Drosophila melanogaster: one gene and its partners. The protein of the gene in region 1 binds, or shares a complex with, the protein of each later gene. Each region holds a gene or a part of one and is shown in the gene's direction. Other genes may lie near its edges.

What was found.
Region 2: eIF3a (region 1) and eIF3g2 share a complex: the UniProt entries of both Drosophila melanogaster proteins name them as parts of the eukaryotic translation initiation factor 3 (eIF-3) complex.
Region 3: eIF3a (region 1) and eIF3g1 share a complex: the UniProt entries of both Drosophila melanogaster proteins name them as parts of the eukaryotic translation initiation factor 3 (eIF-3) complex.

Annotation. Positions count from the first base shown.
Region 1 is NT_033777.3:4,426,706-4,439,623, reverse strand, and holds eIF3a (eukaryotic translation initiation factor 3 subunit a), read left to right. Parts: upstream 1-5,728; 5' UTR 5,729-5,876; coding exon 5,877-5,925; intron 5,926-6,022; coding exon 6,023-7,107; intron 7,108-7,157; coding exon 7,158-9,396; intron 9,397-9,455; coding exon 9,456-9,505; 3' UTR 9,506-9,826; downstream 9,827-12,918. Other genes in the region: CG14650 (uncharacterized protein), read right to left, coding at 1-1,996; Lipt2 (Lipoyl(octanoyl) transferase 2), read left to right, coding at 2,517-3,221; CG1074 (uncharacterized protein), read right to left, coding at 3,573-4,117, 4,174-4,969, 5,438-5,563; CG31525 (uncharacterized protein), read right to left, coding at 11,505-12,455; srl (spargel), read left to right, coding at 12,645-12,742, 12,796-12,901. UniProt on the Drosophila melanogaster protein: RNA-binding component of the eukaryotic translation initiation factor 3 (eIF-3) complex, which is involved in protein synthesis of a specialized repertoire of mRNAs and, together with other initiation factors, stimulates binding of mRNA and methionyl-tRNAi to the 40S ribosome.
Region 2 is NT_033777.3:20,403,654-20,413,577, forward strand, and holds eIF3g2 (eukaryotic translation initiation factor 3 subunit g2), read left to right. Parts: upstream 1-4,611; 5' UTR 4,612-4,673; coding exon 4,674-5,495; 3' UTR 5,496-5,590; downstream 5,591-9,924. Other genes in the region: Gfrl (glial cell line-derived neurotrophic family receptor-like), read right to left, coding at 7,429-7,551; Tmlh (trimethyllysine hydroxylase), read right to left, coding at 3,017-3,921, 3,981-4,170. UniProt on the Drosophila melanogaster protein: RNA-binding component of the eukaryotic translation initiation factor 3 (eIF-3) complex, which is involved in protein synthesis of a specialized repertoire of mRNAs and, together with other initiation factors, stimulates binding of mRNA and methionyl-tRNAi to the 40S ribosome.
Region 3 is NC_004354.4:2,605,275-2,615,190, reverse strand, and holds eIF3g1 (eukaryotic translation initiation factor 3 subunit g1), read left to right. Parts: upstream 1-4,854; 5' UTR 4,855-4,945; intron 4,946-5,008; coding exon 5,009-5,818; 3' UTR 5,819-5,944; downstream 5,945-9,916. Other genes in the region: Smyd3 (SET and MYND domain containing, class 3), read left to right, coding at 6,524-6,720, 6,779-7,020, 7,088-7,221, 7,467-7,929, 7,995-8,365; Zw10 (Zeste-white 10), read right to left, coding at 8,662-9,477, 9,539-9,916. UniProt on the Drosophila melanogaster protein: RNA-binding component of the eukaryotic translation initiation factor 3 (eIF-3) complex, which is involved in protein synthesis of a specialized repertoire of mRNAs and, together with other initiation factors, stimulates binding of mRNA and methionyl-tRNAi to the 40S ribosome.

The DNA of each region.
Region 1 (12,918 bases):
GGCGCGAGTTCTTAGCAAAGCGAGCGTCGAATCGCCGCCAATAACTTCGCCACCATATGCTTGGCTTGCCAGAGTTCTGCTTCAGTTCCTTTTGCAGCTGCCGCGCATAAGCCAATGCAGCCACATAGGCCAACGTTATCCGCTCGTATCCCATGCTAAAGCCCAGAACCACGATATCGTACACCAAATAAAACAGCCACGTTAAAAGTTTCAGGGTGTAAATCCACCAGGTGTGGATAATACGTTTGGCCAACTCGTAGTTGCGGTTACTGGAAAAGCTGTTGGCATGGGTGGGCGAGTTTGTCGACGAATAGGCATTGCTTCGATTGCGCTTCGATGAGTAGGAGTAGCCAGAACTGTTGTTCGGGTTAAGATTCGAGGAGGAATACCGTTTGGCCGAAGAGGAACTAACATTGTTATTGCTGGAGTAATTTACGCTGCTACTGCTACTGCTGCTTCCCGCATGTGTGTTTGCGCCAGTGTGATTCGAGTGACTCGCGTTGGAGTTGATTTTGTTACTGCCTGATTTACGTGATGAAGTGCTAGAATTCGTTGCCGGAGTAAAATTGAGAACATTGCTGTGGTTCTGCAAGCTGCTGTTGGCGGACACCGGAGTGGTCTTATGCTCCGAAAACTTAGGGGCGTTGCTATTTACGTTCTTCGGTTGCAGTGGCCGCTTCTTTTCCGGATTATTTAGTTTGTTTGATTTAATCTGCGGCTGTAGATTTGGCTGTGCTAGAGACTGAGACTGTTGAACCTTGAGCGGCGCGGTCTGGCTGACTTTACTTCGCTTCTTGCCTCGGCTGGCATGCGCATGACCAACACCGGGCACAAACGAACCCGTCTCCTTGGCATCGTGCAGCGGTGAACGTTTTGACGTCCGCATCTCGCGATTTCCATATGCATCCTCCTTTTCCGGACGCCTCTGCGATTGTACACTGTAGTCCCCACCGTTGTCTGCGCGCATATCTCGCCCTGCAGCACTCGGTTTTGTGCCTTTGCTGAGCACATCGGAGTACGACATGGGCATGGGCTTCACCTCGGCCACGATTCGCTTTTTGCCTTCGGGTTGGCCAGGCACGGCGACGCTCGACTTGTTGATGGCAGTTGGTGAAACGGTGGCAGTGGCCAAAGGCATTTTCAGAGACTTGGCTGGCTTGGAAGCCGCTGGCAGTGTATTGACGGATTGCGACAGTGGCTCAGGCTGCTGCAGGTTCTGATTAGGAACCTGTGGCTGTTGGGCTATCGAAGTCTCGAGAACGACGTCCATCTCGTTGGCCTCGCCATCAAATTGAATGTAGCTTCCACCAGTCAAATTGGGCGACCAGTTGTTTACAAGGTTGTTAATGAGAAGGTTAGCACTGCTCGACGAGTGATTGACTTGGGACACTGTTGGGGCCTGAGTCTGCGTCTGTTGGGGCTGTCGATGCTGGGCGTCTTGCTGCTGTGCATGTGGTAAAGTCAAAGGATTTGTGGCAAACAGTTCATACAGTGGAGTCGGCTGCGAAGGTGTCGGCGGAGCGGCCTGGTGTTGGTGCTGCAGCTGATGGTGATTAATCGAGGCCATGTTGATATGCGTGAAGAGTGGGGTGCCGGCTTCGCTGACCTGGTTGTCCGGGCAGTGGTACACTTTGAGAAAGTTGCCGGGTCCCACAGGCAGCACGGAGTAGGTCTCTGGCTGGCCTGGCTGACCGGAGTAGGACAGATTGAAGAGATACTCATTGTACATGTGGGGCTGCTGCTGCTGAAGATGGGGCGCAAATGGGGGGCCGGCTAGGTGCGGTGGTGGAGGTGGCCACATCAGCGGGACAGGTGCTTGTCCATGCTGCTGCTGGTGGATCAGATAGTTTTGGGTTTGATGTTGATGCTGCTGCTGTTGCTGTTGCTGCTGTTGGTGGGCCAGGTAGTTGCCCACTTCGTCAGTGTGGGGCAGGACGCGAAAGGGTGCAGACTCAGTGCTGCCCCCTCCAATCTCGTCGTCCTGACGAGTCGCCATGTCCTGCGATGGGGCCTATGCTTTTTGCGCACCAGCTCCGCTCGCCTATTGGAATTTCAAGCGTGCTCCATGTATTCACCGCAGCGAGTCTGTCACGGATGTGCTGCAATCGCAGGTGACAGGTAGTTGGTTTTCTGTGGCCCTAGCCCACTTTTTCACTCCAAACTCTAAATAATTCGCAGAGCGTCCGTGTGTAAGAGTTTTATATCTTTTTATTGCAAACGTCAAATGTAGTGTTGCCAGATGGGTGGAATTCCATTTTCCTAACTGCCCTCGACCAACCCTGGTAGTAACCTATCGAAAGATTTCCCTCCAACGTATTTTCCGAATTGTTGTTAAACTGTTGGATTATTAATCGAAGTTTCCTCAAATAAAAAAACAAATTTCGCCAACTTTTCCATTGCCACCAATCAGCCGTTTTTGAAGATACATATATTGATGAACCCGCTGATCGTGCAGCCCTGGTTAATATTTGTTGTTTTAAACGTTGCAGTCAAATGATTTTTAAACAATTAAAAAAATGCCTTTTGTCCGACCGCTGGTGACCGTGGTGCGGGCCGGGCGGCATAGCTATTCAGCAGGATTACAGCTACAGCAACGTCTTGCAAGGTCCAACCAGATCCTGAATCCGCCAGCGGAGTTCCGAAACTACCTGGTGCTTCAGGAGCACGACCCGGTCTACACAGTCGGACTAAGGACAAAGGACTATACGGCGCAGGATGAAGACCGACTCCGCCGGCTAGGAGCAGACTTCCATCGCACAGATCGCGGTGGCTTGATCACATTTCACGGCCCCGGCCAGTTGGTGGCCTATCCCATTCTGCACCTGGGTCAGTTCGTGCCGAGCATCCGCTGGTACGTGGCGACGTTGGAGCGGATGGTTGTCGAGGCCTGCCACCAGATGGGCATTTCCAGTGCCAAGGCGACCAAGGACACCGGTATCTGGGTGGGTGACAACAAGATCTGTGCCATCGGTATCCACGGCTCGCGTTACGTCACCACGCATGGAATCGGCCTCAATTGCTGCACGGATCTGCAGTGGTTTGAGCACATTGTGCCCTGCGGAATCGAAGGCAAGGGGGTCACCTCGCTCAGCAAAGAGCTGGACAGACATTTTCCTGTCGAGGAGGCCAGTGGCGCACTCCTCAATAGTTTCGCTAAAGTTTTCGAATGCCGCCTTCAGGAACACGCCAAAAAACCAGCAAGTTCTGCTGAAATCGGATAATATGGTTATTTGGATACATATGATGTATAAAGGACCGCCAAGTTTATTTCAACATTTATAATTTAAATTATGCATCAATACATATTTCCTGGCCTTCTGTTATCTCAACTTTTACGAAATGGAAATTTGTAAACTAGATTTATGTATTTCATAAAATATTAAAATAACATTATAACTATATACATATATAGACTCATTGTCAATCGTATTTATCTATTTTTTTTTTTGTCCAAATCTGAATCAAAATCTTCGAAATGTATGCCATACAAGAAAACTCAGCGACACACAGCCAACAAAAAATTTGGCCCGAATCGAAGTTATATCTTACTATAAATTACACTTCAATGGAGATCACATAAATCGAGCTTTATTCAGGTCACACTTTTTGGAGCGCCCATCCGTAGGAATCTTTCCCCGTGCATTCATCTCCACACGAGCCTGTTCCCGCAGCTCTGCCTTCCGCATTCGACGCTCTTTGCGTGACTCCAGAGCATTATTAAAGTACCGATCCCTGAAGTCCTGCGAGGGCGTTGGCACCTGTTTTATGCTGCACAATAAGGGTTCTGTTGGACTATACTCGAAACACTTTTCATAGGTGAGTAGCCGCCTAGCTGTATTCCCAGTCAATTGCTGCTCAGAGTTAGCTATCAGGCTCAGATGCTGATGCTGTGGCAGCATCTTCGGGTCGTAGTCCTCGCTGTGAAAGGGTATCCAGCAGACAAGACGTCCTCCCAGTTTTAGGTGCCTCGCAGAGAACTCGAGAAGATCCCCATAGAGACTCTGCAAGGAATAGTGCGACGTTGATGGGTAATGCACCATGCTGTCACTTCTAGTGTTGGCCTTTACGCTAGCCTTTTTCTCCACCTTTTCCGTGGCCTCTCTTATTCCATAGGGAGCTTAAATTACCAAAGAATGAACATTTTAAGTTTGGTATAAAAAAGAATAAACCTACGATCTGTTATTATGCAGTCGAACGAGATGCGGGAATGCCACACCGGGTTGGAGAAATCGGCCACCACCACATCCATGTAGCGATCAGCGCAGCCGTACTGCTTCAAGTTGGCCCGAATGCTCTCGTCCTTCTCCCGCACTTTTTGGGTTATCCGGCTCGGCCGGCAGCGGGCGTGCACCATCATGTAGTCTATGTCCGCTCCCAGGACATACCCGCCCCACTTGGCGGCGCTTACCAAAAGCGAGCCCGTTCCCACAAACGGATCAAATACCAGATCCCCATTGCGTACCATCGCTTGGTTGGCCATTAGCAGGCTCAGCTGGGCGTCCATGCTGGTGTTACCGATAAACTTACGATGCTTCAGCGAAAGCTCCTTGATCAAATGCCGCTGACCATGGGCCATCAGCCGACCAAACAGAATGTCCTCCGGCTCAGGTGGCACAGCCGTTGGATCCAAGCCCCAAAACTCGATGTACCACCACTCCACCACGGGTTTCTCCAGATTGACCGTTCCCTCTATTGGCAGGTAATCCATGGACTCGATTTTCTCAACCTTTTCCCTCTGGCTGAAGTGCTTGTTGTAGGTCTCCACAACGATCTTAAAACTGGCATCCACCCGAAAGTATTCCGCAAGCGAATGCCAGTTCGCGGTAACATGATTCCGTAGCCTCTGGTGAAACTCGGGTAATTTGTTGGAGTGGGCGTAGAGCTCGAACATGGCGCGCAACGAAACGGACCTGGATGCATATAGCAACGCAGTATCCGTGTCCCGAAATTCGACCAACCAAAATGGTTTCTGTAATACCGAAATTAAAAAATATAAATATAACTATATATGCTGATGCTTCTATACTACAGAAGTATTTATATATGTGTCGCAAGCTCTAAAAATAATGTAATCAAAGTATCCTACACTAAAAACATCTAACAGGTACGCGGATCGTATTCGTAATGTATGTATACCAGGTATCAGGTATCCTTTCGAAACCTTTTAGGTTTTGTAGTTCCTGAGATCTCAACGATCGTATATAATTTATAGCTAGTAATGCTAAATTTCTACCTGTTGAAAACACTTTTGAAAATATAGTTTACTATTTTCTTCCTCTTACAAATACATATAAAATTTTTTTACGTTAAAAATATTAAACATATTAATAAAATTCCAAGTTTGGATATAACATTAAACCACAGGTTTTAAAAGTTATAGGGGAGGTGGAATTTGTTAATCTTGCGTTTTCAAAATTCTGGTACTAAAACACTTTACCCTGGTGTGTTCTGTAAGCCGCCGGACCTGAAGTCCAAACATTTTGACCAGCGAATCAAACTCCTGCACGCGAAAGTCGACATGCTCCTGGGCGAACCACAAGATAAACTTCCTCCAGTTGACCATGTCGCTATTTTAATTAATGAATTGTTTATTTATATTCTAGAGCGACTTCATTACTCCTCGTGTTATTGCTGTGAGCTAGCGGAGTTGCACTGCGATTAGCTGACCATCGGCAACTATCGGCCTGAACTATCGATAACGCAGCCAGGTGTAGCCCTGCGTGCCGTCGACTCGGCCATTTTGCATTAATATTGCAGCCACACGTAGGCGAGCCGAAGATTTATACAATTTTCAGCAGCCCCAGGTCTCAAAACGCTCCAGACCTGCTATCAAAATCAACTTGAAGTGCCGCCGCAAGTAAGTAAAGCGATCGGAAATGGCCCGCTATACGCAACGTCCGGAAAACGCCCTAAAAAGGGCTAATGGTGAGTGCTGAAAATTTTCCATGCGGTGTCTGAAGAGAAACTTTCGTCTTCGCGAATCGTGTGCTCTCTTAACTCGACGCCGCTCTCTTCGTCACAGAGTTCATTGAAGTGGGAAAGCCGCTTAGGGCGCTGGACACGCTGCAGGAAGTTTTCCGGAACAAGCGATGGAACTATGCCTACTCGGAGACGGTCATCGAACCGCTCATGTTCAAGTACCTGTACCTCTGCGTGGAACTCAAGAAGTCGCACATCGCCAAGGAGGGACTATTCCAGTACCGGAACATGTTCCAGCTGGTGAACGTGAACTCTCTGGAAAATGTAATCCGCGGCTACCTGAAAATGGCCGAAGAGCACACAGAGGCTGCCCAAGCCCAGTCCTCGGCGGCCGTTGCTGTTCTGGAGCTGGATGACCTGGACAACATTGCCACGCCAGAGAGCATCCTAATGAGCGCAGTGTGTGGCGAGGACGCACAGGACCGCTCCGACCGCACTATTCTGCTCCCGTGGGTCAAGTTCCTGTGGGAGTCCTACTGCCAGTGTCTAGAGCTGCTGCGCGTAAACACGCATTGCGAGGCGCTGTACCACGATATCGCTCGCATGGCCTTCCAGTTCTGCCTTAAGTACAACCGCAAGAGCGAGTTTCGCCGCTTGTGCGACAAGCTGCGCAAACACTTGGAGGACATTTGCAAGAGCAGCAACCAGACCACCGGTGTCTCGATCAACAAGGTGGAAACGCAGCAGCTCTGCTTGGACACCAGGTTGTACCTTCTTGACTCGGCCATCCAGATGGAGCTGTGGCAAGAGGCCTACAAGGCAATCGAGGATATCCATGGCCTGATGGCTCTGTCCAAGAAGACACCCGTGCCCAAAACCATGGCCAACTACTACCAAAAATTAGCCATGGTCTTTAGCAAGGCCGGCAACCAGTTGTTCCACGCTGCAGCGCTGCTGAAGCTCTTCCAGCTGACGCGCGAGCTGAAGAAGAACCTGACGAAGGACGACTTGCAGCGTATGGCTGCCCACGTTCTCCTGGCCACTCTTTCTATTCCGTTGCCTTCGGCCCATCCAGAGTTCGACAGGTTTATTGAGGCGGACAAGAGCCCCCTGGAGAAGGCGCAGAAGTTGGCCGTGCTTTTGGGCCTGCCCCAGCCACCTACTCGCGTCTCCCTTATTCGTGAAGTGGTAAGTATCACGCAATATAGTAATGACTTATGACTAATTCATAAACACAGGTGCGCTTGAATGTTCCTCAACTCGTATCTGAGGACTTTCGCAATCTATACAACTGGTTGGAGGTGGATTTCAACCCACTGAATCTGTGCAAGCGCATTCAGTCTATCGTGGACTTCATTGAGAACGGGCCCGAAAACGCTCTGCTCACTCCTTACATTCAATCGCTGAAGGACGTGACTATAATGCGTCTGATTCGTCAGATCTCTCAGGTTTATGAGAGTATTAAGTTCCAGCGTCTCTTGCAGCTGGCCAGTTTTTGCAACATTTTTGAATTGGAAAAACTGCTGGTCGAGTCCGTGCGTCACAATGACATGCAGATTCGTATTGACCACCAGAAGAACAGTATCTATTTCGGCACTGATCTGACCGAGAGTCAACGCGAGTACCGCCCCGACGGACCCGCTTTGCAATCGATGCCCTCGGAACAGATCCGCTCTCAGTTGGTTAATATGTCTACTGTTCTGACACGGGCAGTTTCAATCGTCTACCCGAACCGTGAACGTGACCAGCGGGCCAAGCTCCGCAACCAGATGGTAAACCATTACCATGAGATCAAGGATCGCGAGCACCAGCGTATTCTTCAGCGACAGAAGATCATCGAGGACAGAAAGGAGTACATCGAGAAGCAGAATAATGCTCGTGAAGAGGAAGAGGCGCGGCGTCAGGAGGAGGAATCGCGGAAGGCCAAACTGGCCGAACAGAAGCGCCTCGAGCAGGAGCAAGAAGAAAGAGAGCGCAAGCGCCATCAGAACGAAATCCAAGCCATCCGGGAGAAGAGTCTCAAGGAGAAGGTTCAGCAAATCTCGCAGACGGCTCATGGTAAGAAGATGCTTTCCAAGCTGGATGAGGAAGGCATTAAGAAGTTGGACGCCGAGCAGATCGCCAAGCGGGAAAGCGAGGAACTTCAGCGCGAGGCCAAGGAACTGCAGTCGAAACTCAAATCGCAAGAGAAGAAAATCGACTACTTCGAACGCGCCAAGCGCCTGGAGGAGATACCGCTTTTCGAAAAATACTTGGCCGAAAAGCAGGTTAAGGACAAGGAGTTCTGGGAAGCAACCGAGAAGACACGCATCGAGAATGCCATTGCCGAACGGAAGGATGCCGTCGCCCAGCAGGAGCGTCTCAAGCGCATGTATCCGGACCGGGATGAATTCCTTGAGGCCCTTAAAAAAGAACGTGCCTCCCTCTACGTCGAAAAGCTCAAAAAGTTTGAGGCTGCTCTGGAGGCAGAGCGCAAAAAGCGCTTAGCCGACCGCATTATTCGACGCCGCGAGGAGCGCCGACAGGCCTTCCTTCGCGAGAAAGAGGAGGAGCGTCTTCGCAAGGAGGAAGAGATTCGCTTGGCACAGGCTGCCGAAGAGCGCGCCGCAGCAGAAGCCCGCCGTTTGGAGCGTGAGGCTGAGGACGAAAAGCGTCGTGCCCAATACGAAAAGCAGCGTGCCAAGGAGGAGGAAGCTGAGCGTAAAATCAAGGAAGATCGAGACCGCCTGTCCAGGGAGTTGGCCTCGGAGCGCGAACGCACTGAAAAGGACCGTGACACATGGCGTCCTCGAGGCGGTGACCGTCCAAGCGCATCTAACGGCGGATCCAGCGAGTGGCGTCGTGCTGCACCTGCGGCCAGTGAACGCAACGACCGTGGTGGCGAGCGTATCGAGCGCGGAGGAGAACGGATCGAGCGCGGTGGAGAACGCCTCGAGCGTGGTGGAGAGCGCATTGAACGAGGCGGTGACCGTGACCGCAAGGACAACGAGGGAGCGGACTCCTCTTGGCGTGTGCGACGAGAGCCAGATTCACAGCGTGCAGCTGCTCCCAAAGACAGTGGCGCTCCGCAATCGCGCGATGACAAGTGGCGGCGTGGCGGAGAACGTGACCGCGATTTCCGCATTGATGGGGCTCGTCGCGACAGGGATGATGGGCCTCGGCGTGACCGTGACGATGGTCCTCGCCGGGATCGTGACGATGAGCGCGGTGGATTCCGCCGCGCCGACGGGGCGCGTCGTACCGACGAGCCTCAGCGGGAAACTGGAGGGAACTGGCGCGACGCTCCACGCCACGCTGATCGGGAAACCCGTCGCCCAGCTGAGAGGCGCGACCGAGATGTGCGCGAGACTCGTGGCGATCAACGCGGCTCTGCTCCTAAGGAGGCAGCCAGTGGCGGAGTAGGCGGAAACTGGCGTACTGCTCCTGCGACCCGTGAGGAAAAACCAGCAGCTAAGCGCGATCAAGCCCAGGAAAAGGGTAAGTAATCTCAGCAGCAAACCTAATTTCCATTCTTATCAATGCGTTACATCTTTCAGAGAACAAAGCTGGCGATGATGGCGAGTGGACCAGCGTTAAGCGTCGTTAATTTTTATTTTCATCATCGTATATACCCAGCATAATATTCTTAATAAGTTTTTATTTCATCCGACTTGTACTTTATTGGTGTAGAGCTCAGTCGGCCGGTATATTATATCTATCTATCCAAAGCTTGTGCCAGATAGTTAAAATTGAGATGGTTGTAGGACCGATACTAATTAAAGTACTTTCGAATAAAATAACTATGTTCTAAAAAATTGAAAAGTGAAATTGTCGAATGAGAACCTTGGGAATCAAAGAAATGAAAAGTGGTTATTATTGGTTTAATTCAAAAATTCTAATTCTTATTTATCAGATTTCAGGATGAACCAAGCTTCCCTTATACGTACAGTGATTTATAAACCAGTCCCTTTAAATTTATATTTCGACAGAGCTAAAACTACATTAAAATGTAGTTTGCAAACTAAACAAATGCGGGTTCTTCTATAGTTTTACAAAGTTCGTTCTTGGAAGCGTGGCTTTTTAACATTAGGTTTTTTAATTGCCCATAAATAAAAAATGCATTCAAAAGTATTGTAAATTGTATTATCACATACGCTTGACTTATTTTAAAAAAGTGACATCTTTCTTAGGTAAAACCATATTCGTTGGGAATAAATTCGAGTAAATTTAGAAAAGCTTTTATAGCAAGCAAAACAAAAATATTCTGCCTCTGAAAATTTGCCTCGATAATATGAGCCCGCGCCTTCTTCGCACACTCAACTAGTATTTTCTTGCGAACTTGGCACTAATGCCATGGCCTCGCGGATCCTCCGCGGTGCGCGCCCCTGGTCACACTGTCTGTGCCGCTGCCGCGAATCTCGGTCCACGTGAACAAATTTTGGACAATGTGCTATACGGTACTCATGAGATAAAGTGATTGCGGGTTGCTTTGGAGTGCAGTGACGTTGGCCCATCTTAAACCGCGGGTGATCGTGATCTTCGGGCGGAACAGAAAGACGCAGTTTGACTGCCGCAAGAAAAAGCCCTTTTGGGCACCGGACTTGTGTGCTTGTGTTAGTGCTGCAGACGCGGCGCTCAACATGTGAGGTTAAAGCAGACGGCGGCAAAAATCCGAACGAACAAGCGTTCGGCTGGGGAAGCCCTTTTTCGAGTGAAATAGGTGATCCGGAACCACAACGGAAGCTCAGAAGGTAATATTGCTAGGCGCGTGCCACAGATTGGACATCGCGAATGCGATAGCGAATCCGCTGAGCTTTGGGGAGAAAGGCTTTCGAAACCAAAGTGCCAAGGTGATAGGCAAGACCTGCGAAACGTATTCATTCAACTCGATTGCTTTTCGCCAAGGAGTGCAGTATCAAAAGCACATGGCGTGGCGGCATTTACACGCACACGCGCCCATCGTGGCTCACATACACATACACGTGGTTGGGGCAAACATGTGCTGTTGCTGCTACTGCTGCTTCTTCTTTCCGCCATCGTCGTTGTGTGGGCATGTTTGTTATTGTTGTCGTTGGCTAAAACTATTGTGTTTTGTGTTCCAGGTCCATGTGTAGGTGATGCAGAGGCGCTGAAGATTGATTAAAATCATTTACACCCGTCAATCGTATAGTAGAGGGTATGTGACTGCTTCAATTTTCGAAATGTTAATTTTACCATTTAGGAAATCTTGGTATCTAGTGTCAAAAAACACCTTTCGTGCAGGCTTTCAATATTGCGGCCACAGTATTTACATCAATATATTGTAGATGGAACTTAAATTTAAAACTATTCAACTAAACTATAATAGTTTTAAGCAACAACTATCAGGAAAATATAAACATAATTTTGAATATATCGACAACCTTTCCCAGCCCAAAGAAAAAATCTTTGTAATGCAAAACATGAAGTTAAATTGTGCAATTCATGACATAGTTTTAGAGAAATCTTGTTTAAATGATTAAGTTAAGTCATTTATGACACGTGTTAAGGCTTTCTAAAGCTACATTTTTATTCCGGTTTCGGTATTTATTTACATTGTAATTTAATTTTAATGTCAATGCCTATGTTTAATTTTTACCCTGATGATGTGTCTCTGGCGGAGCTCGACGTTGTGCAAGTGTTGCATGCTTGTTATGCATTTTGTTGAGGATTCTTTTGCGGTCCATAGTCAGCTTAGCGAGTTGTTCCTCCACCTTATCCATCATTTCGGTTTGCAGATGTATACATGATTGGACACTAACGCCTCTGATCGCAAGTTGGCCGATGTGAAAAGACAACTGAGCATTGGTACCAGTTAGGACAAAGAAGCCTGTTATGCCAAAAATCCTAATAGGCGGTTTGGGATTTCTAGCTAGCTCAGAAGGCTTGAAGCATTTGACTTTAACTTCATTCTCCAGGTTATTGAAAACTGGTCGTGGCAACAGCAAATCTGCACCGTGATCAGGTTCCTTTTCCATCGGAATTGGGGATTTTGAACAGAGTAGGTTTCGTGTCGGCAGGACAGAGTGGAAGTGCGACTTAATTTGTTCGCAAAATTTGGACATCAATGGCACGCTGGAGTTTGGAGTTTTATTGGCCCCTTTATTGGTGTTCCTTGGAACCAGTGCAATAAATTTATTGTCCTTATCATATCCGGATGAAGTGGTATTTTGGAATTGTTCCGCGTCAAAAGCCTTCTTTTTTATTTCCGACAAGAAGGTTTTCTTGTGACTAGTTAATCGAATTTTTTGCAGAGCATCACACAGCTGAATTTTCTTTTCGGATTCGTGGATTGACTGTTCCAAAGACGGAGTTTTTTCCTTCTCATTCTTTCCATCTAAAGTCGTCTGGGACATACCTATATCTTTTTTCTTTGAGTATGTTTCCTTTGAGCTAGTTGAATTAGTCGAACGAGAGATTGGGGGAATCGGTATAACTTCTATTATCCTGGGCCAATTCTTCTGACTTGCTTCCTTTGTGGCCCTTAGCCGGGACTCTGCAGCTTTGCGTTGACGCCTTGTGATCACTTTTTTTGGCATTTCGTTTTTTTTTTTTATTATTATTTGGTTAACGGGAAGTGATTTTGTAAACTTGATTTTTCAATATGTTACAATCATATGACGATTGTGGATTGATATCGAAAAGGCAACTATGATTGGTTTCGTTTTTAGGAGTTCCCTATTTAATCCGAGTTTATTTGTTTACAGTTACTTAACTTTTGACGCAAAATGGATTCACGAATGCTAAATGTGTTCCAAGGAGATACCTTTGAGGCAAATTATACCAAATACGAGTCTGAGCCGATATTCTGGTCATCTAATGATGAGTGAGTGATTGTCATCAGAAAAATGTACTAAAAACTAATGCAAACCCTTTCAGACTGCAACTGACAGATACACTGAGCGGCATCCTACCCATCGCGCCCACAGACGAATCACTGCTCAACCATAACCGGGAGGAAGATCTGCAAAACAGAAAGAATCTGGTAGGTTTTGGCTCGAG
Region 2 (9,924 bases), about 16 Mb from region 1:
GTAACGTTGTTAGGGTTCTGAGTAGCGGGTATCGGATAGATGAGGAGCTGAACTACAACGCTTTCTCTTCGAATTAAATGCTATTTTTTTCAGTGCAGGTTTGGGCCATGACAGTTGTTATAAATGGCAGCGAGACAACTACAAACCAGACACATGTCATAATAAGGGCCGAGAGAGGTTACAACAACTGCTATATGAATAATTGAGTCTCCAAACAAAACGGTCGATTTAAGCGCCCAATGAAGCGATGCGCAGGGAGCGTGAACGGGATAATATTTTATAACATAATAAATTATGTGTAACACATAGACTGTACGGTGTGTGGGTCTGTGACAGCTTATTCGAGCATATGACAACCACTACTGCTCCAACTGCTGCGTCAAACAAAAGGCAAACATCTGTTGGCCATCTATTGTCCTTTTGGCCATAAAACATAAGCCCTACTAATAAACCCGGCTACGCCAACACTTCACAAACACGGCCAGCAGAGCCGGAGACGCACACACACTCATTGGGAACTGGGAAAGGGACTCGTTTGGCCTGTCGTCATAAGCCGTAAAATCGCCAAAAAGCAAAACAAGCAAACTGCCGGACAATGGGAGTCCGTCCGGCATAATGGGAAGCGAGTAGTGGTGGTAGTGGTGGCAGTGGTGGCCACCACGCCATGTGGTTCACGTCACTCAACTGACCCGAACCGAACCAAACTGAGGCCCCCTTTCGGTGACCCCTGTGATTGCCCCACGACCTATCCAATAACGCCCTTGTCCCATGCAGACCGGACATGATTATTTGCTAGTTGAACATAAAGTTGCTCCTGCAGAGGGAAGTTCGTTGGGGCTGGATGTTGGCCAGCACATACGCACACATCGAAACACTGACATCGACTGCGCAACAAGTGACATTTTTCTCAGGCATCCATCATTTTTATGCCCCTCGCTTTCGCACCGTTTCATTTTTTTCGTGTCGATGTCCTTTCTGGTTTTCGGATTTGGGGATTTTCGGGGTCCCTTGTGGTGTCAATTAAAACTCGTTCGTTGCGTATCAAAGGGAAGCGCAGCATGTTTACGCAATGGACAAGGAAATGGAGAATGCTGCTTTGAATGTAAAAAAAAAAATGCATGCACATATTTTATACGTACAGATACAAGACGAGCATGACTGACATATTTGTCTAAATAAACAGATACAATTTTTTCTTAAATTATGTATATACTTTATATTTCCGTTCTTTCTCTCCGTGTGGTAAGTGCATTTGAAGCGTGGCCGGCTAACTAGATGCCATTCGCTTGAGCCGCAGGTCCTGGCCATCGGTTTTCCTTGGTTAGTGGTACCTGGCTTTGGTTTCGTCATTGCATGCTGGGCGGCCATAAAAAATAAAGCCAAGGCGAGTGGTTTTTATGCTTCGTCGCCATCAAGCGACGCCATTTGCTGTTGTGTTCTTTCAACTTTTTTTTTTGAACTGACGCCGCCATTGCCCTTGCCTTTTACTGTTATTGTTAAGTCCTCAATTCGTTTTTATTCGAAACGCGTTTCCGGTTGTTGAGTTGGTCGCTGAATTGGTTCAATGATTTCTTTGTTTGTTTGTTTGTTGCTGGCACCTGACTGTGTATGCTCGCCAGTTTTTCCTGCCGTATTTTATTTGATTTTAGTTTGATATTTGTTCTTGCTGCCTTGGTCTGGCCATTGTTTTTATTATATTTCGGCTTTTTATGGCGTCTGTAGGTGAAATTTATGAGTCATTTATTAAGTTTAGCAGCCATTGAAGGGCATATAAATTATGATCGAGCATATTAATTACGAGTGAGTCAAGCAGGCACTTTGTGTTTGAACTATTTCGGCCGGAATGTCCTGTTTCCTGTTCCGAGAACACATGTGTGTGTCCTTTGTGTCCATGCTCATGTCCGTGGTGCTTGTTGGTTTTATTGAACCATCGACAAGTGCCACGGTGGCTCAAAGTGAGTGCAGCGTTTTAAAACGGAAGTGGAATGCCGAAAAGTATGCCATGCAAAGGCACGACTGCTGCGCTGCAACTTCCGCCGAAGGAAAAGCGAGCAAAAATATATTTATCGCCCAGCTGGGGCATCGAAGCTGCTTTTAAAGGCTTTTCCCGGTCGTGGCCGCGCATATGAGAGCTGGGTGAAAAACGGGAAAAGCGAGCGGGAAAACCTGCATGAAATGCAATTATCATAAATATTCAGACACTGTACGTTCACCGTTTGCCGGATCTCTTTAAGGCACATCCATATTTGGAGGACATTTAAAGGACAGCAGCGCGACAGCCATTAACCTGCACGGCCAACAAAAAGTAATTTCACTTTTAAATGAAAAAGTTCAAAGTGCGTTTGTTTATGCCAAACACACACTCTCGCACACAAATACAGAAAACCCACATGAGACGCTGGCCATAAAAACAAATGCCAAATGATTTTTGTTGCTGGTTTTCTGTATGCGATCCACTCCCCTATGACAAAAATTAGACGCTGGCCAGCAATTGTAATCGTAACTTTTTATTATGATACGTTAGCATTTGCAATCGAAATTGAATTGGAGTGGGACTCGGTTCAGAAAAAAGAAAAATATGCTTGAACAATTTGCGTGTTTTTTTCTATACGCAACGATTCTTTAACAATGTATGCTATTCCTGATATATGAACCGAATTTAAAATATGTTCTTATTTGAGCAATCAAAAGCAAACTTATATATATGCAGAAAGGATGTTGATTTAAGCCAGTATCTTGCATCGAAGTGAAGGAGTCAGCTACGAACATGTAAAGTATATATATTATTGATCAATGTTAAATGTTCTTCTATCCACAAAATAATCTCTCAGTGTTAAAGTTATCCGCATGAAACTTTCCCATTGCAAAAAGTATAAAAGTCGGTACGGACCATATAATACATAAATGATTGCTGAAGGAATATGCGGAGCACTAGAAAGTATAGAAAATAAATCATAATTTCTTAGTTCATAAAAGGTTTTAATTCGGTATACATTAGGTATTTTTCAATAAGCTTTCAGTCAATAATTCCCAGCACTCGAGCCTTGCTGAGAAAATCTGTGCGCTGCACATAGGAACCGGACATGGTACGACTTCCTGTGTATGCCTCTCGACCATGGAGCACTCTCCAGTTATCGAAAAGAACAATGCTGCCGGGACATAGCTTGAGAGCCCACTGCTGTTGCTTATCCCTGACGATTAGCAAAAGCTGGCGAAGACTGTCATAGAACTCGGCCATTTCGGCTTGAGGGATGGTATTAAACACGGCGCGATCATATACATTTAGTCTGAGTTGAACAAATTCCTGAGTCAGTGGATCCACCTGTATAATGGGGGCAGTGTGGTAGTGGTGCTCCCCTTTTTCGATGTACTCTCCAGGAACTTGGACACTGCACAGTACATCATAAGCGGCGGGATACCGGCGTTTCAGTTCGTGAACCACATGCAGACCATCAACAAAGAAATTTTCGCCACCCGATCCCGAGTGCTCAATGCAATGTAGAGCCTGTAGTCCGGCTGCATCGCAGAAATAGGTATTATCCGTATGGGAACCCAGGTAAAGTTTGGTATAAGCGGTGTCCGCGTGATCGGGGTTATCGCTAAAAGTCCACATTTCGCCAAAGAACGTTTTCATAAGGGGGAAAACTCGTCGCAGAGCCAATTCTGTCATATTCGCGGTGGGAGCCACATCATCGATAAAGACAATGCCATAACGCACCAGAGATTCAACCAGGGATCTGACTTCGTTATCACTGGAAACCAGCTGGGGCAATGGGAATCGTAAGTGCCGTTCGTTTTGCAAGATAATGCTACGATTCCATGGTGTCAGATTAGTGGACTTTGATCGCCGACCTATCAACCTCTCCAGCTGTGAGTCGAAGATAAAGTCCAGGTCATAGTTCGACTTGTGAGCATCACTCCCTAAAATGGCAGGCCAATAAAATCGAAGCTAGGTGCATTTTACATCAATTTTTTCTTACACTGCACTTGTAGATTCATCCCGTCGTATTTGACATCTAGTGGCATTATATCAGCTGGTAGATCTAAGACATCGTATCGCCTCTGATTTGTTTCGAAATTTAGACACTCCACACATCGACAATGATCACGGAGCCAAAACTCATTGATTTCTATTGATTGGCTGGTTTTCGGGTGCTTCAAAAGCAACATGTTAATGCCAATAGAACAACCGACGGACTAGAGCAGTGAAAGTGAACTAACAGCTCAAAGTTTGATTAAGTTTCAGCTCGGTTTTAATTGTACTGTTATCAGTAGGAGAGCGATTACTTTCATGCTCAAGTCAGAGATAAGAACTTATTTGTTTACGGAATAACTATAAGATTAATAAATTTATTGAATTTAAAGACAATATGTAATTATTAAGAACAACTCATGAAAGTAAAAAAATTTATAATTTAATCAAGATTGATTGAATGGTATGTTTTTGTTGCAAAGTTATCTTAGTGAATTGCTACTCAAGTTGTTGTATTTTTTATTAAAAAATCATTACTTTAAAGAAAATATAAATATTAATTTCAAATATCTTTTATTGAAAGGGATTTTTTCCCATCTCAACAGGCCAAGTAAAATTCAAATGGAAAAACTCTCTCTAAAACTAGAGATCTCTAAGTTTTTAATTCATTTTGTACCGGTTGTGTGGGAAATCATAAAAAATGAAGACTTTCGTTACTTCCTGGGCCGATGAGGTGGATGCGGACTATGTGGATGGACTGCCGCCTTCTAATGAGTACATTAAGGGCGACTTCAAGTACGTGACGGAGTATAAGTTCAACGATGATGGCAAGAAGGTGAAAGTGGTGCGAACCTTCAAGATCGAGAAGCAGATTGTTCCGAAGGCTGTGGCTCGTCGTCGCAACTGGGTTAAGTTTGGGGATTCGCGATCGGACAAGCCCGGACCCAATTCCCAGACGACAATGGCCTCCGAGGAGATCTTTATGCAATTCATCGGCTCCAAAGATTTCGACCAGACCCACGAAACCCAACTTGATCCCGGCAAGAACATCGCCAAGTGCCGCATTTGCAATGGCGAACACTGGAGTGTCAATTGTCCCTACAAGGGCACCTCGATGGATAGCAAAACCGTGATGGAAACCAAGGCCAATGCCGCTGCAGCTGCCGCTATAAGTGATCCCAGCAAGACCGGAAAATATGTACCACCCTTCATGAAGGACGGCGGAGGCATATCTGGCAGCAAAAATTGGGGACGGGGTCGGGATCGGGACGATTCGTCGGCAGTTCGCATCTCAAACCTATCCGAATCCATGACCGAGACTGATCTCGAGGAGCTGGTAAAGAAAATCGGACCACACACCAAGATGTATTTGGCGCGCGAAAAAAACAGCGGCCTCTGCAAGGGATTCGCCTACGTGCACTTCAAGTTCCGCCAGGATGCAGCTGCCGCCATTGAGGTTCTTAATGGCCACGGCTACGACCACTTGATCCTCTGCGTCGAGTGGTCCAAGCCTCAGCCGTAATGGCTATAGCCTTGTGTATTCGCTTCTCTGCTTATTCGAGAACGGAAATGAGCTGCGGTGGCAGTGAAATCAAAATAAAATTCTGGTACACCCTGCAAAATATGCGACCACTTTTATTTTTAATTTGCACACATTCGATAATTACAGAGAATATATTAATAATAATATAAAATCTATTTATTAATGTTTCGTAGTAGATTTTTTCATCTTTCAGTTGAGCAAAGGATATGAATTGAGATAGATATGAAAATTGTTAAAAACAGTCTGGTTCATTTGGGACCACTCAATTTTCGAGTTGATATACCCTTGGACATCCAAGGTGGATGCTTTTTTTAAGTGCATAAAAGAGAAAGCTCGCCTTGAGCGAACTAAAGCCGATAATGCTCCGTTTTAAATGCGATTTTTTCGCCGTGCTCCGCAGCCGTACAAAGGTGAAAGCCACTTAAATGGAAGCCAACGTGGTGCCGGATGATGATGGCACGGCGTTCCCGGCAAGAGCTGAGAAATGCCACAAGACGCTGGCCGGACCGAATGAACATTAATAATTAAATATAAGAGCGGACTTATGCGCACGATACTTGGAGCGGAGCCCCTCAGAACGGGACGCCAACTACGCGACCATGACGTTGAACCGGGAATGAGTGGTCGGTGGATAGTGTTCGCGGGAAAGTCCCGGCTTAGATACACATTTTGAATGAGGGGCGGATCAAAGCCAGGCACAAAAGAAATTTATTTCCATTGTTGTTGCTGTTGCGGTGGTATGGGATGGGTAGCAGCTAAAGCAGAGTCTAAAACAAATTACTGAATAATTTATAAATTAACTTTTTCTGCGGCGCGCTCATTCGTTCGTCCCCGGCCTTTGTTTGAGCGGCAGAATGAATAGGTGGAAGGCGAATGAATGGGTGGCCAGGTGGGCGGCTTGACAGGTTAGTTAGCATTGTGGGGGGGGGGGGGGGTAGTTGGGGGTATGAGGCGCCCTGGTAAGGAGAACGCCCTCGGCCACGCATTTCTTTTTCAGTTTGCACCTTCAGGTCATGTGCGCTCACCGCACGCACACTCACTCACTCTTCCAGAGAAAAACAAACAGAAGATTAAAAGTCAAATGTTAAATAAGAAATACCCAGTAGTTGGAGTTAAAGTGGTATTTAAAGTAAGCAAACTCATTCCAATAACGGATATTTACAAACTTTTTTAAAAGAATCCATGTTCCTATTCAACTTTTTAATTTTTAAGTTTTACCTGTCGTAACTTCTAACAAAACACATTTGAATAGAGGCTAAATAATGTATAAAATTTAGCATAAATAATTTTAATTAGAATAAGAATTAAATAATCCAGAAAGCTATCCCATTAAGTATACGCACACAGCACATTATGTATTTTGAAATATTCTTCATACGCCCTGTGCACTACAGTGCAGTTCACCCCATCTCCCCCATTGTACAGGGTACCGCAGAAACAGGCCATCGACTCGACGGCGTTGAAACTCTCGGGGGCATTTGAATATTCAAATATGCCATTTGCTGGCGTTTCGTGGCCGATCTCCTTCGCGGTCTCTGTTGCGCTTTAAGTGTAGACTGTTATTTACTGTTTTATTGCACGCGCGCCTGCTCACGAAACCCTCAAAAATGGCTGAAATAATTACACAGTTGTCGAACCAGCCACAACAACAAAGCCCCCAAGCAAATAAAAACGATGAAAGAATATAATATATTCAACCGACTCGCACTGGCAGCGGAAATTAATTCTCAAATGACCAAAACTTGTGCATAATCAGCGTTGAGCGCCGCAGGTGAAAGCTCGAGAGCTCTGCAAACACTTGACACAAAAACCCATAGATTTTGTGTAAACATTTCATCAGGGCGTGGTAAAATTATCGATTTGATTTCAATATGTTTGGCTGGATGACTTTATGGCTTGTTTGTTTATTTACCTGGAATGGGTCCGCAGACGCGAGGTATTATTTCCAAAATGGCCGAACATGAGGGATCCTCGAAGCATAGCTGACGTGCTAGGATACAGTTCAGAATGGCCACGACGCCCTTAATGGTGGAACCTGAAATTCGAAAAAAGGGAGCATATTAAAAAGAGTTTCTATTAAATTTAATGTTCAGAAAAGGTAGATATTGTCCAATTTTGTCAAAAATAGTACTAAATATAGATTTTACGCATAGAAATGATATCGCATTTATATTTCTACGATAGTATGGAAATCTGCATTACATCCCCAAAGTTGGACTTAGAACTCTTTCTTAATATGGTTAGGCCCACGTATCAGCTGAGAATGACTCTTAACGATCTGATTAACAAGTAAGTTCTCCAAGCTTGTTGGCTTTATTTCTGCTCATTATTCTTCGGAGGGACATTGTGGTCACCATACTAATTGAATCCGATACATTGTTGGCGTACGAGTCCCGCAGAATGTTTAATAACCGAATTCCAACTGAAAGCCGCAGCAGCAGCAGCAAAATGCAACATGCAACACGCAACAAGGGGCAGCAAGACTCGTGCGGTGACAACATTAAGCCAAATTTAATTAAATCTCCGGACTCTGTTTTTCGCCATCTTTTTATAGGAAGGATTTCGATACGTATTTTTTTTATGTCGCACAATTGTATGCAAATGTAATGTGTAAAGTCCCTCAAATATTTTGTTTCCGTCGTATTTGTCTTTATGCGCGTAATTACGAATTGCTCATAAATATTTATTCCGAAGTTTTAATTATGTTAATTCATGGTGAACTGTTTAAAGCATTTACAATGATTTTCATTGAAAAATCCGACAAGAATGAGGTGAATAAAATGCAGGGCGGCAAAAAATCGCAATTATGTTTATATGCAGCTCTTAGTTTTTATCATAATTTTATGTTCTGCTAGAGTGAGATAGCGAGATAGAGGTAGAGTGGGAAAACAGTTCGTTTATAAAACATTCATTTCAATTTCATTTCATTACGTAAAATAAACCAAGTCATCCGGACAGCAGCGACTGGGAACACAGGCTGCTGTCTATCTAAGCAGTCGGCTTTATGGCCACTGCCTACCGGTCATGGTCCTTCCGCCAGCTGCTTCTCCTGCTCCTCGCACTGCTTCTCTAAACCCACTTCATCCGCCGGATGCCCCGTAAAAGTTGTAGTTCGCTGCTGCTTCTGAATTTTTCTTTTTCACCCCTGAACCACCAGCCCCACGCTCATTAACGAAATGACCGTTTGCATATTGTACGTCGGGTTGGGGAGGGAAGACCCGGCGGAGGAGGTAGATTCCGGAGCCGGAATAACAAAAGAAGTGCCTTCAAAAATTCACGAATTGCATGCGGACGCAGCTGAACTTACTCGGCGGAGGAGCAACTGCGACTGCAGGAAGTGGCCTACTGCCCAAAACCGAGAAGTAACCAGAACGGTGGCTACAATTGCATGGCCGCAGAAGTTTCCCGGACTGCCACTGCCAGTCGAACTGTTTGCGGAAATACAAATAAACAAAAGTCAGTGGGGAATCCAGCGGACAAAATAGCAAGTTTGGCTGGACTTTAAAGTGTTTTATGGTTATTGGGTGCCTAGAATTGCATTGAGATATGCAGCGCGCGTCTGGCTCGATGACAGCCAAGATATTACCGAGGACGACTTCGGTGGCCGGCGGATGGGCATGGTCTTATGGCCGCAAATTGCCAACAGACCCCGGGGACACCCGCTCAATCCCCGGCGACCCATTTGGAATCACTTAAAACACACAAATCAAGCAAAAGTTGAAAACACAATAACAATTGTTTTGGGACACACCATAAATTTGCATGCCAAGAAGAGTAATGCTCCCAGCCACATAGAAAAAAGCGAAATAGGCACATAAATATGCGACCGACCGGCGTTCCTGTTCCTGTTCTCCTGCCCCACCTTCAAGCCCAGTTACTGCTCCTGCTACTGCTCCTGCTCCTCCTCCACATATACATACAAAACTCCGCCGACGACAACCAGAACAATTCGTTTGTGTCACAATCAGATTCGGCACAGGCACAAAAATGTTCGCTTTTCGCGTTTCGCGCTCGCCATGTTTCATGAATTATTTCCCCGAACCCCAAAAAGTTTTCGACCAAAAACTTTGACTGCAGAAAGAGGCCAGAAAAAAAAATCTGGCAAGGCAGGCAAGACATTGACTGGGAACTGGGAATTGTCCAGTGTTGCAGGCCAACTCCCAATGCTGCTCAGCGTTGCACTGGAGAAATGGAGTTTCAAATGGGGCGAAAATTGCATCATATCCTTGTTGCTGATATCTATAAATACTATTAACACAGAAATAATTACAACCTTTTGTAATGGCTCGATTATATTGTAGTTAAACACCAATGTAAACTAAAAAGCTTGAGTGAAAGTTTTGAGGTTAAAGTAGCAAAAATGAGTTGTATCTAAAGTTGAATATGCGCGTTCGGCAACACATTTTAC
Region 3 (9,916 bases), on another chromosome or scaffold:
TGCCTTAAACTTGAAAATCAAACTTTCAGGTCAAACCATGCGGCGAATAAGGGTCAACAGTCGAGTTTCAGAGGAAACGAAAAACCCATTCCGGCACCCCGCAATTTTCAGCCGTCGAATGCCTTTGGCCATCGACAGCCTCCACCGGTCCCTCCACGACATCCCATGAGGAGACCTCCACAATATTTAGGCCAGCCATTCCCGGCGCCAAGGCAACACGTGTCTAACTTCGGTAATGCACCGTTCATTCCACCCCGACAAAACTATCAACAGCAATGGCAACAATACAATGCCCCACCCCGTCCCTTTGCGACCAAACCACAACCAAGACCAGAACCAATGGACGTGGACGGCAGTGTACAGACGCGAAACATTAATTATATGAATAGACCACACTCGGACATAAACAAACGACAAAAGAACTACAACATCCAAACAGTGAACATGAGACAGCCAAGTATTGAAGTAACTGGGTCCAGTTCAAGCATGACAGGCTATCAACGGTCGATGCAAGATTATGAAACCCAGAACAATATAAACGGCACACTAAATGAATACTGTGATGGACAAATAGACAATTTGGACAGCGAACAACGAGACCACGTGTTGCATTTTTTAGAGTAGAAGACTCCTCACTACCATACTTCGAATGTAGAGTGGGGAGTGGAAAGGTTTTAAGGGTGTTGATTGACACAGGCTCTAATAAAAATTACATCCAGCCCAATTTGGTGACGAACGCGATACCAAATAACAAGCCTTACATAGCTGATACTCCAGGCGGTGATGTAAAAATATCGCATTACAAAAGAGCAAGCCTTTTCGATTTCGAAATAAAATTTTTTTTGTTACCAACGCTGAAGACTTTTGACGCCATACTTGGCAAAGACACAATGAAGGGAATGGGAGCGCAAATTGATTTGAAGAACCTAACCATGACACTGGAAAACGGGAAAAGAGTTGTTCTCAAAGAAAAACAGTTCGAGGCTGTTAGCACAATTAGTCCGAGAATAAAACACTTAGAGGTGGAACAGAGAATGATATTGAATAAAATAATTGATTCGTATCCAGGTCTCTTCGCAGACCCGAATCAAAAACTAACCTACACAACAAGTGTAAGGGCAGCAATCCGAACTATATCGGATACGCCAATATACTCAAAATTCTATCAGTACCCAATGTCTCTTAAAGACGAGGTACACAAACAAATTTCCGAACTTTTACACGATGGAATCATTCGACCCTCAAGGTCACCTTACAATTCACCAGTGTGGATTGTACCAAAAAAACTCGACTCCTCTGGCAAGAAAAAATACAGGGTGGTAATTGACTATCGAAAACTTAACATGGTAACGGTAGCGGACAGATACCCTATCCCTGACATTAATGAAGTGTTGGCCCAATTGGGAGACAACAAGATTTTCTCAGTGCTCGATCTGAAAAGTGGGTTTCATCAGATTCTTTTAAAGGAATCTGATATCGAAAAGACCGCCTTCTCCATCAATAATGGAAAATATGAGTTTACACGACTCCCATTCGGTCTGAAAAATGCACCGTCAATTTTCCAGCGCGCACTGGACGATATTCTTCACGAACATATCGGTAAGATATGTTTCATTTATATTGACGACATCATCATCTTTAGTAAAGATGATGAAACACATTACCAGAACCTTGACACTATTTTCAGAACTCTTCAGCAAGCCAACATGAAATGTCAGTTGGATAAATGCGAGTTCATGAAGAGAAAAGTGGAGTTCCTAGGCTTCGTCGTGTCCGACAAGGGCATTGAAACCAGCCCAACCAAGGTACAGGCAATCTCAGACTTTCCAATTCCAAGGACACTCAAAGAACTGAGATCATTCTTGGGATTATCCGGATATTACAGGCGATTTATTCCTAACTACGCTAAGTTAGCAAAACCACTTAGCTCGCTTTTGAGAGGGGAGGATGGTCGAATTTCCAGGACATTATCGTCAAAAAAATCCGTCTCCCTTAATCGCGAAGCAATAGAAGCCTTCAAGAAATTGAAGAGCAGCTTGGTTTCTCCAGACGTAATACTCCACTACCCGGACTTTAAGAAAGAATTTCACCTAACAACGGATGCTTCCAATTTCGCAGTAGGTGCTGTTCTTTCACAAGAGAACAGACCCATCTCATTTTTATCGAGAACACTCTCGAAGGCGGAAGAAAATTATGCCACGAATGAGAAGGAAATGTTAGCCATTATCTGGGCTCTAAAAAAGCTAAAAATTTACCTTTACGGTAAAGCAAAGGTGAAAATCTTTACTGACCATCAGCCTTTGACCCATTCTCTCAGTAGTTGGAATGGAAATGCGAGGATTAAGAGATGGAAAGCATACCTTGAGGAATATGACTACGAAATTTTCTACAAGCCAGGCAGAGAAAATACTGTAGCCGACGCTCTGTCCAGAGGACCGACAGTCGAACAAATTAACACAGTAGCCTCAACAATGCACAGCTCTGACAGTTCGAGCCATGGGCTGATACCTAGCGTTGAAGCCCCGATAAACGCATTCAAGAATCAAATTTTCTTCAGGGAGTCCGAGTCAGAGAACTACTCATTTAGCATTCCATTCCCGACATTTCAAAGGCATTTAGTAGATCGCAACTTGTTCACACCCGATAGTCTCTTGTCAGATTTGAAAGAATATCTTAACCCATCCGTGATTAATGGAATTTTCACATCCGAGGATGTAATGGGGAAAATTCAAATTCTCTACCCCATCCATTTTCAGGGTTTCAAGATTAGATTCTGCCAAAGCAAAGTCAAAGACCTTGTTAACGAAGCCGAACAAGAGGAAGAAATACTTAGGACACATAACAGAGCACACAGAAATGCTGTGGAAAATAAAGCTCAGTTGTCCGAAAGAGTATACTTTCCTAAAATGAGGAAAAAAGTTTCGGCTATCGTGAATCAGTGTTTGGTGTGTAAGACTGCTAAATATGACAGACATCCCACGCATCCAGAAATAAGACAAACTCCCTTGCCAGAATACCCCGGACAAATTATTCATATTGACATCTACTCGACAGAACGACATCTGGTGCTCACGGCGATTGATAAATTTTCCAAACTGGCCATGGGAAGAGTTATCAAATCCAAAGCTGTAGAAGACATTAGGAAAGCCCTAAGAGATATCGTGTTTTATTATGGAGTGCCTAAATTAATAGTAATGGACAATGAAAAGTCCCTCAACTCAGCCTCTATCAAATTCATGTTGACAGACCAGCTGGGTATTGAGCTCTACAAAGCACCTCCGTATAAGAGTACAGTAAATGGACAGATAGAAAGATTTCACTCCACACTCTCTGAAATAATGAGATGTTTGAAAGGAGATGGAACACATAGGGGCTTCGAGGAACTTCTCGATAGGGCCATCTATGAATATAACTACACTGTCCATTCTGTCACAAAAAAACGACCTCTAGAGGTGTTCTTCGGCAGGATAGCTACCGTAGCTCCAGAAAAATATGAACAAGCTAGACTGGACAATATAGACCGACTTAGGCAAAAACAGGAAACCGACATAGAATACCACAACCGGACAAGAAAGCCCATAAAAACCTATATCAAAGGGCAAGAAATTTTCGTTAGGGTTAATACAAGATTAGGTTCTAAGTTATCAAGTAGATTTAGGAAGGAACTAGTTAAGGAAGACCGAAGTACCACAATATTAACAGAATCAGGGAAATTAGTACATAAAAGTAACATAAGATCATGATTGCTTCAGAATAATTACTGTGGCCACATCGATAGACAAGTAGAACATAGAAACATTAAACATACTGATTAACGTAACCACGAGAATTAAATTTGAAACGATTCGACTTTGACAGACGAGTTGGCCATAGGTTTGCAGAATTAGATTGGGCTCGTGAAAGAAGAGATTGCGTTGTGAATGCGTTTCTGCGGAGCGAGTTTAAATTGAATGAGACCAGTAGCCTACTTGAAAACAATATACCGATTTCTGCCTTGACGGTCAAATAAATGTTAAAACTTTCACACGTTCTCGCTTTACACAACGGAACTACAATTTGAATGCCATTGAAATCTCCATATTGAATCAGTTAATTCCTTATTTCTTATATTTTAAAACATGATCAGTAAAGGAAACTAATAATAATAAATAAATAATAATTTAATTTGAATAATAATAAAATTTACCAATTAAAGACGAAATGTACGGAATCAATGCCTTCTGCAAAGGTTCCAATGGTCTAAAAATATGTAGATATAAATTCATTAGTAATTTAGTAAAAACCAGAATTTTAATAGAAGCAATCAAGTTGTCAATGCAGAACACATCCGAGTTGCACAAACCTCGAACGCACGCAACAATAAACACCTGGCATTCAAACCATTAATGCTGTGCCCAAACTACCACGAATCACCCCACCAACGATGCGACTCAAAAACATCCCATCCTTATGATGACCGCTCGAGGACAAGCGTCAATTAAGAGGGGAGGAGTTATTGCCCTGCAATTGATTCTCTAACATCTTGTGGTTCCACATAGTCTCCGCTGCCATCAACGCCAACGAACGGTTAAGCGCGACATCGACACTTCTGCGCTGCGCCGCGGCCGACGCCTGCTGCGCCGCTGCCGACGACTTCACTTGATTGCTAGGGACTTAGGGAAACATTTTGTACGCTAGATTTAGTTTCAAATGATAAATTGCAATAAACGGTCGCTTGCGATCTTCAAAATCAAATCGATAACTTATTAACTTATATGTAACGAAATTTCAAATGGTATATTCCAAAAAGTGCAAAGTGGTATTAGCGGTATATTTTTTGGACACACACGGCATATTTTTGTGACCGCGGCAGGGTAACACTCTTTTGTTGCTGATTAAAAATCCGCTTAACTCGTGGCGAAATTTGCATTTACGATTTCGCATACAAATCGCGTTGAAAATCAGAGTGAGTGCACCCCAAGCAAGCGCCCAGTGTAGCCCCACTCACTGCGCCCTCAATTCCTTTCAGATGCCGGGCGTTGAAACGATCAAATCCTCCTGGGCGGACGAGGTGGAGCTCGACTATGGTGGACTACCTCCGACGACGGAGACGGTGGAGAACGGACAGAAGTACGTGACGGAGTACAAGTACAACAAGGACGACAAGAAGACGAAGGTGGTGCGCACGTACAAGATATCCAAGCAGGTGGTGCCCAAGACGGTGGCCAAGCGACGCACCTGGACGAAGTTCGGCGACTCGAAGAACGACAAGCCCGGCCCCAACTCGCAGACGACCATGGTGTCCGAGGAGATCATCATGCAGTTCCTCAACTCCAAGGAGGACGAGAAGGCCAACGATCCGCTGCTAGATCCCACCAAGAATATTGCCAAGTGCCGTATCTGCAACGGTGAGCATTGGTCGGTCAACTGCCCGTACAAGGGCACGGCGATGGACACGAATATGATGGAGAAGAAGGCTTCGGCAGCCGCCGCGGCCGCCGTCGATGCGCCCAAGTCCGGCAAGTATGTGCCGCCGTTCCTCAAGGACAGCCAAAAGGGCGCGCTGGGAATGCGCGGACGCGACGACACGGCCGCCATTAGGATATCGAATCTGTCGGAGTCGATGACCGAGGCGGATCTCGAGGAGCTGGTGAAGAAGATTGGACCGCAGAGCAAGATGTATCTCGCCCGCGACAAGAACACCGGACTCTGCAAGGGATTCGCCTACGTGCACTTCAAGCAGCGCAAGGATGCGGCCGCCGCCATCGAGATCCTCAATGGACACGGCTACGACCACTTGATCCTCAGCGTCGAATGGTCGAAACCCCAGAACAATTAGTTAGTCCCGTTCCCACTACCCGCGTTTACTGCTCATAGGAGTCCGTTCGAGTCGATCACACAATTTGTCCCTATGCTATGCTAAGTTTGCTACAAATAAATCTTAAAACAGCCCCCATGGGCACCGAAAACCAGATGACTATGCTCTGCAAGGATACAATGGCATCTAGAATCGTATATTTTTCATATTTGATATAACTTAATCGCTCTTCTTTAGTTTTGCGGACCAACCAACACAAATGCTTTCGACTTTTGCTCTAATATAGCTTTCTCCCTCGTTTTAAAGGACGCAAGGCCACCAAATCGTAGACACTGGGAACAACATATAAAAGAAATATTTTTTATTTGTTACTTAAAAAACTTGAATATGATTTGTTAAGTGTATTTTTTAACGACATGCAGCTACCCACATATGGTTAACAAGTTAACCTTACGCGGTGCCCACTGTAGAAAGCATGATTCCAGCCGATCTGGCAACGCCATCGTTTGCATGCGAATAAACACCATGGTGTTGTTGTTTTTGTGTTTGCCAGCGATTTGCGTAAATTGTGTTTGTTTTTGTGGCCAAAAATAGAAATCAGATGCCGCAAAATATTCAAAAAGCATTCGAAACAATATTTTTGATCTTCAGGTGTGCGCTCATTTTCAGTCGTCAGTGAGACGGGCCCCCAGGCGAAAGTCTTTGTTGTTGCTCCGTTCGAGCGAAATGGCCACCGCCACCGTTGGTTCATCCAGATCCGCAACCACATCCGCAACCGCATCCGCATGCTCATCCAAATCCAAGAACCTAAAGAATCCGGCGCCGCAAATAAAAAGGGGACAGCGGATCCTCACGGAGAAACCATTCGCCTTCGTCTTGAAATCACAGTACCGCCTGGAGCGGTGCGATAACTGCCTGGAGGCGTAAGTTTCGCCATGTGGCTGCCTTTGTGAGCTATCTAATTTGGGTTCGTCGTTGCAGGACCAAGGTGCTGAAGTGCTCCAACTGCAGGTATGTGTCCTACTGCCACCGCTCATGCCAGATGCAAGCTTGGGGCCAGCACAAGCACGAGTGTCCTTTCCTCAAGAAGGTGCATCCTCGAGTTGTGCCCGATGCTGCCCGAATGCTCTGCCGACTGATCCTGCGCCTGGAGCACGGCGGAGACCTGATCCGCGGCTATTACACCGAGCACGGCTCCCGCAAGTTTCGCGATCTCATGTCCCGTGAGTAAACCAAAGGGCGAACCGCTTTGCATGGTCATTCCTAGCTAATCCACGTTAACGTGCACAGATTACGCCGAAATCAAGAACGATCCCATGCGACTGGAGCACTTGGACTCGCTGCATGCCGTCCTCACCGATATGATGGCCGAGAGTCCCAGCACGGTGCCAAACAAGACGGAACTGATGAGCATCTATGGTCGCGTAAGTGTGCAGGCACCTGTGCGAGCGAGCAGGAGCGGATTGGGCGATTCATCGCACTGGTACTGAATCGAGAAACCAAGACGCTTGCGTATGCAGCCGCTCCTGGTCGCCCAAATTAGATAGCAATCAATGATGTATGCCTGGCGCTCTGCCAGTCAATTGATTATCTAGGAAGGGCTTCGGTTCACATTCCCCGGCGCACAGTTACGCGGGAGCTCATGCTCTTTCTTCTCTGCTCTTTGCAGCTGATCACCAATGGCTTCAATATCTTGGACGCCGAGATGAACTCAATTGCCACGGCCATATATCTGGGCGTCTCGATTACGGACCATAGCTGCCAGCCAAATGCGGTCGCCACCTTCGAGGGCAACGAGCTGCACGTCCACGCGATCGAGGACATGGAATGCCTGGACTGGTCGAAAATCTTCATCAGCTACATCGACCTGCTCAATACGCCGGAGCAGAGGCGTCTGGACCTCAAGGAGCACTACTACTTCCTATGCGTGTGCAGCAAGTGCACGGATGCCAAGGAATCGAAGGAGATGCTGGCTGCCCTGTGTCCCAATCGCAACTGCGGTGCGGGAATCAGTGTGGACCGCAATAATTGCCCGCGATGCGATGCCGGCATCAGTCCCAAGTTGAGAAATGCCTTCAACGAGGCGATGACTCTGACCCGGCACAATCTGGAGAACATGAAGGACGTGGCCTGTGAGTAGATGCGACGAAATGGAATTAGCTCCATAATAAGCACATTTTCACTCTCTCGATCACAGATCTCGATGTGTGCAAGGTGTGTCTGGACAAGCAGACTGGCGTGTTCCATCCCCTGAATGTGTGGTACGTCAAGACGCTCGATGCGGCCTTCGAAGCAGCCATCGAAGTGGGCAAGTGGAGCGACGCCCTGGATTACGGGCAACGTTTGCTGCCAGGCTTTCGAAAATACCACGGACCCTGGAATCCGCTATTGGGCCTGCTTCACATGAAGCTGGGCAAGATTCAGCTCTACGAGGGCCATTCCAAGGAGGCACTGCACCATCTGGAGGAGGCCCAACGCATCCTAACCGTCACCCACGGCCGAGATCACAGACTGCTTACTGAGCAGCTATACATGCTCGTTCTACAAGCGCGACAAGAGGCGCACTAATGGGATTTAGTTGTTTTTATTCATTTAAATAAGTCTTAAGTTAAATATTGTGTTGCGTTGCGGGAAGAATGGAATGGATTTTTGTGGATAATTACTTTTCTATGTACAACAGAAACCATTCGGAGAATTAAAGATTATCAAATTCTATTACTTTTGGCATTTGTGGTAAACAATTCAAGGAATTAAAGTAAGGACACATTGATGGTGATCATCAAATTTAGACTCCGTTTACCACCTCAAATGTGATGTCTATCCGCCGTTCAACATTCCTCGCTCGCAAAAAAGGCGCACGCGCCCTATACAATCTGCGTAATGGCCTTGGCCCGCCAATCCGTATCCTGGAACAACGCCCTGATTAGGTGCTTTATCTCATCCGACTTGTAGCTGGCGGTCAGCGGGCCGACGCCGTCGCCCCACAGCTCTGTGATCTCCATGAGCGACGCGTTCAGCATGGCCTTCAGTTGCTGCAGCTTAAGCCAAGAGAGCACCTGGACCACCTCGTTTGGTTCGCGGAAAAGCGTGGGCGCCCGCTGGAGCACCACGTCAATGAGATCGCTCAGCTCACAGGCCATCTGTGCGGAAATGTCGCGCAGCGTGAACACTCGACGGATTAGCTCGGCGACAAATGTGTTGATTAGCTCGCAGAAGGTTGCATTGTACACGGTCTCCGGGAGCACATTGGCCCACACGTTCTTCAGCAGCTCCAGCTGGCGAAGGCACTGACGCACCAGCTTCAGTGGACCAGAGCCCAGCGTGTGCGTGCTCTCGAACTCGAACTCCTGCATGATGCCCATCAGGATGGAGGATTGGTAGTCGACCTGCACGCGGAAATGCTGCTGACCGGTGGCCTGCAGTGTCTTGGCCAGCGCCGCCAAGCTTTCGATGCCCTTGTTCGCATGCTGCGCTACCCAGTGTGTGAAGAACATACAATTGTTGTGGAACAGGACGGCCTGCTGTGGAATGCTCTCGAGCAGCTTGCGGTGCACCTTGGGCACCTCATTGATGTAGGTGTGCAGCATGATGGAAATGACGCCGGCTATGGGATCGGCCTCTTGGTCGCCCAGTTTATCCGTGGGCTGGCGAAGAATGCGGTCCATTAGTTTGACAAAGTCCTGCCGGCGAAAATGAATCCATTAGTGCGTAATCAATCGTTTCGTTTAGCGAACGACTTACCTGAGCACTTTTCGAGATCATGCAGCGTGGGAAGAGGAAGGGATCGTTTGCCACTTCGGCTGAGTGGTTGTTGGGCGCCACCAGCACCATGTCCTGCAGATCGCGCTGGATGATCTCCCGCGCCGTTTCCAGAACTCGACGATACATCCGATTGCGGTAGTAGGTCTCGTACTTCTCTACAAACTGCCCTAGGGCTCGATCTTGCTCGGGATTGATGATGAATGAGTCTACAAGCAGCTGCTCCAGCTGGGCGACATCCTCACACAGCGTGGATGTCTGATACTCCTCCGTGCTTTCGGGCACAGCTGGTATCAGGCACTCGTCCACCAGTAATTTCAGCATTTTATCCTTCACATGATCGCCAATAATGCCAAAAAC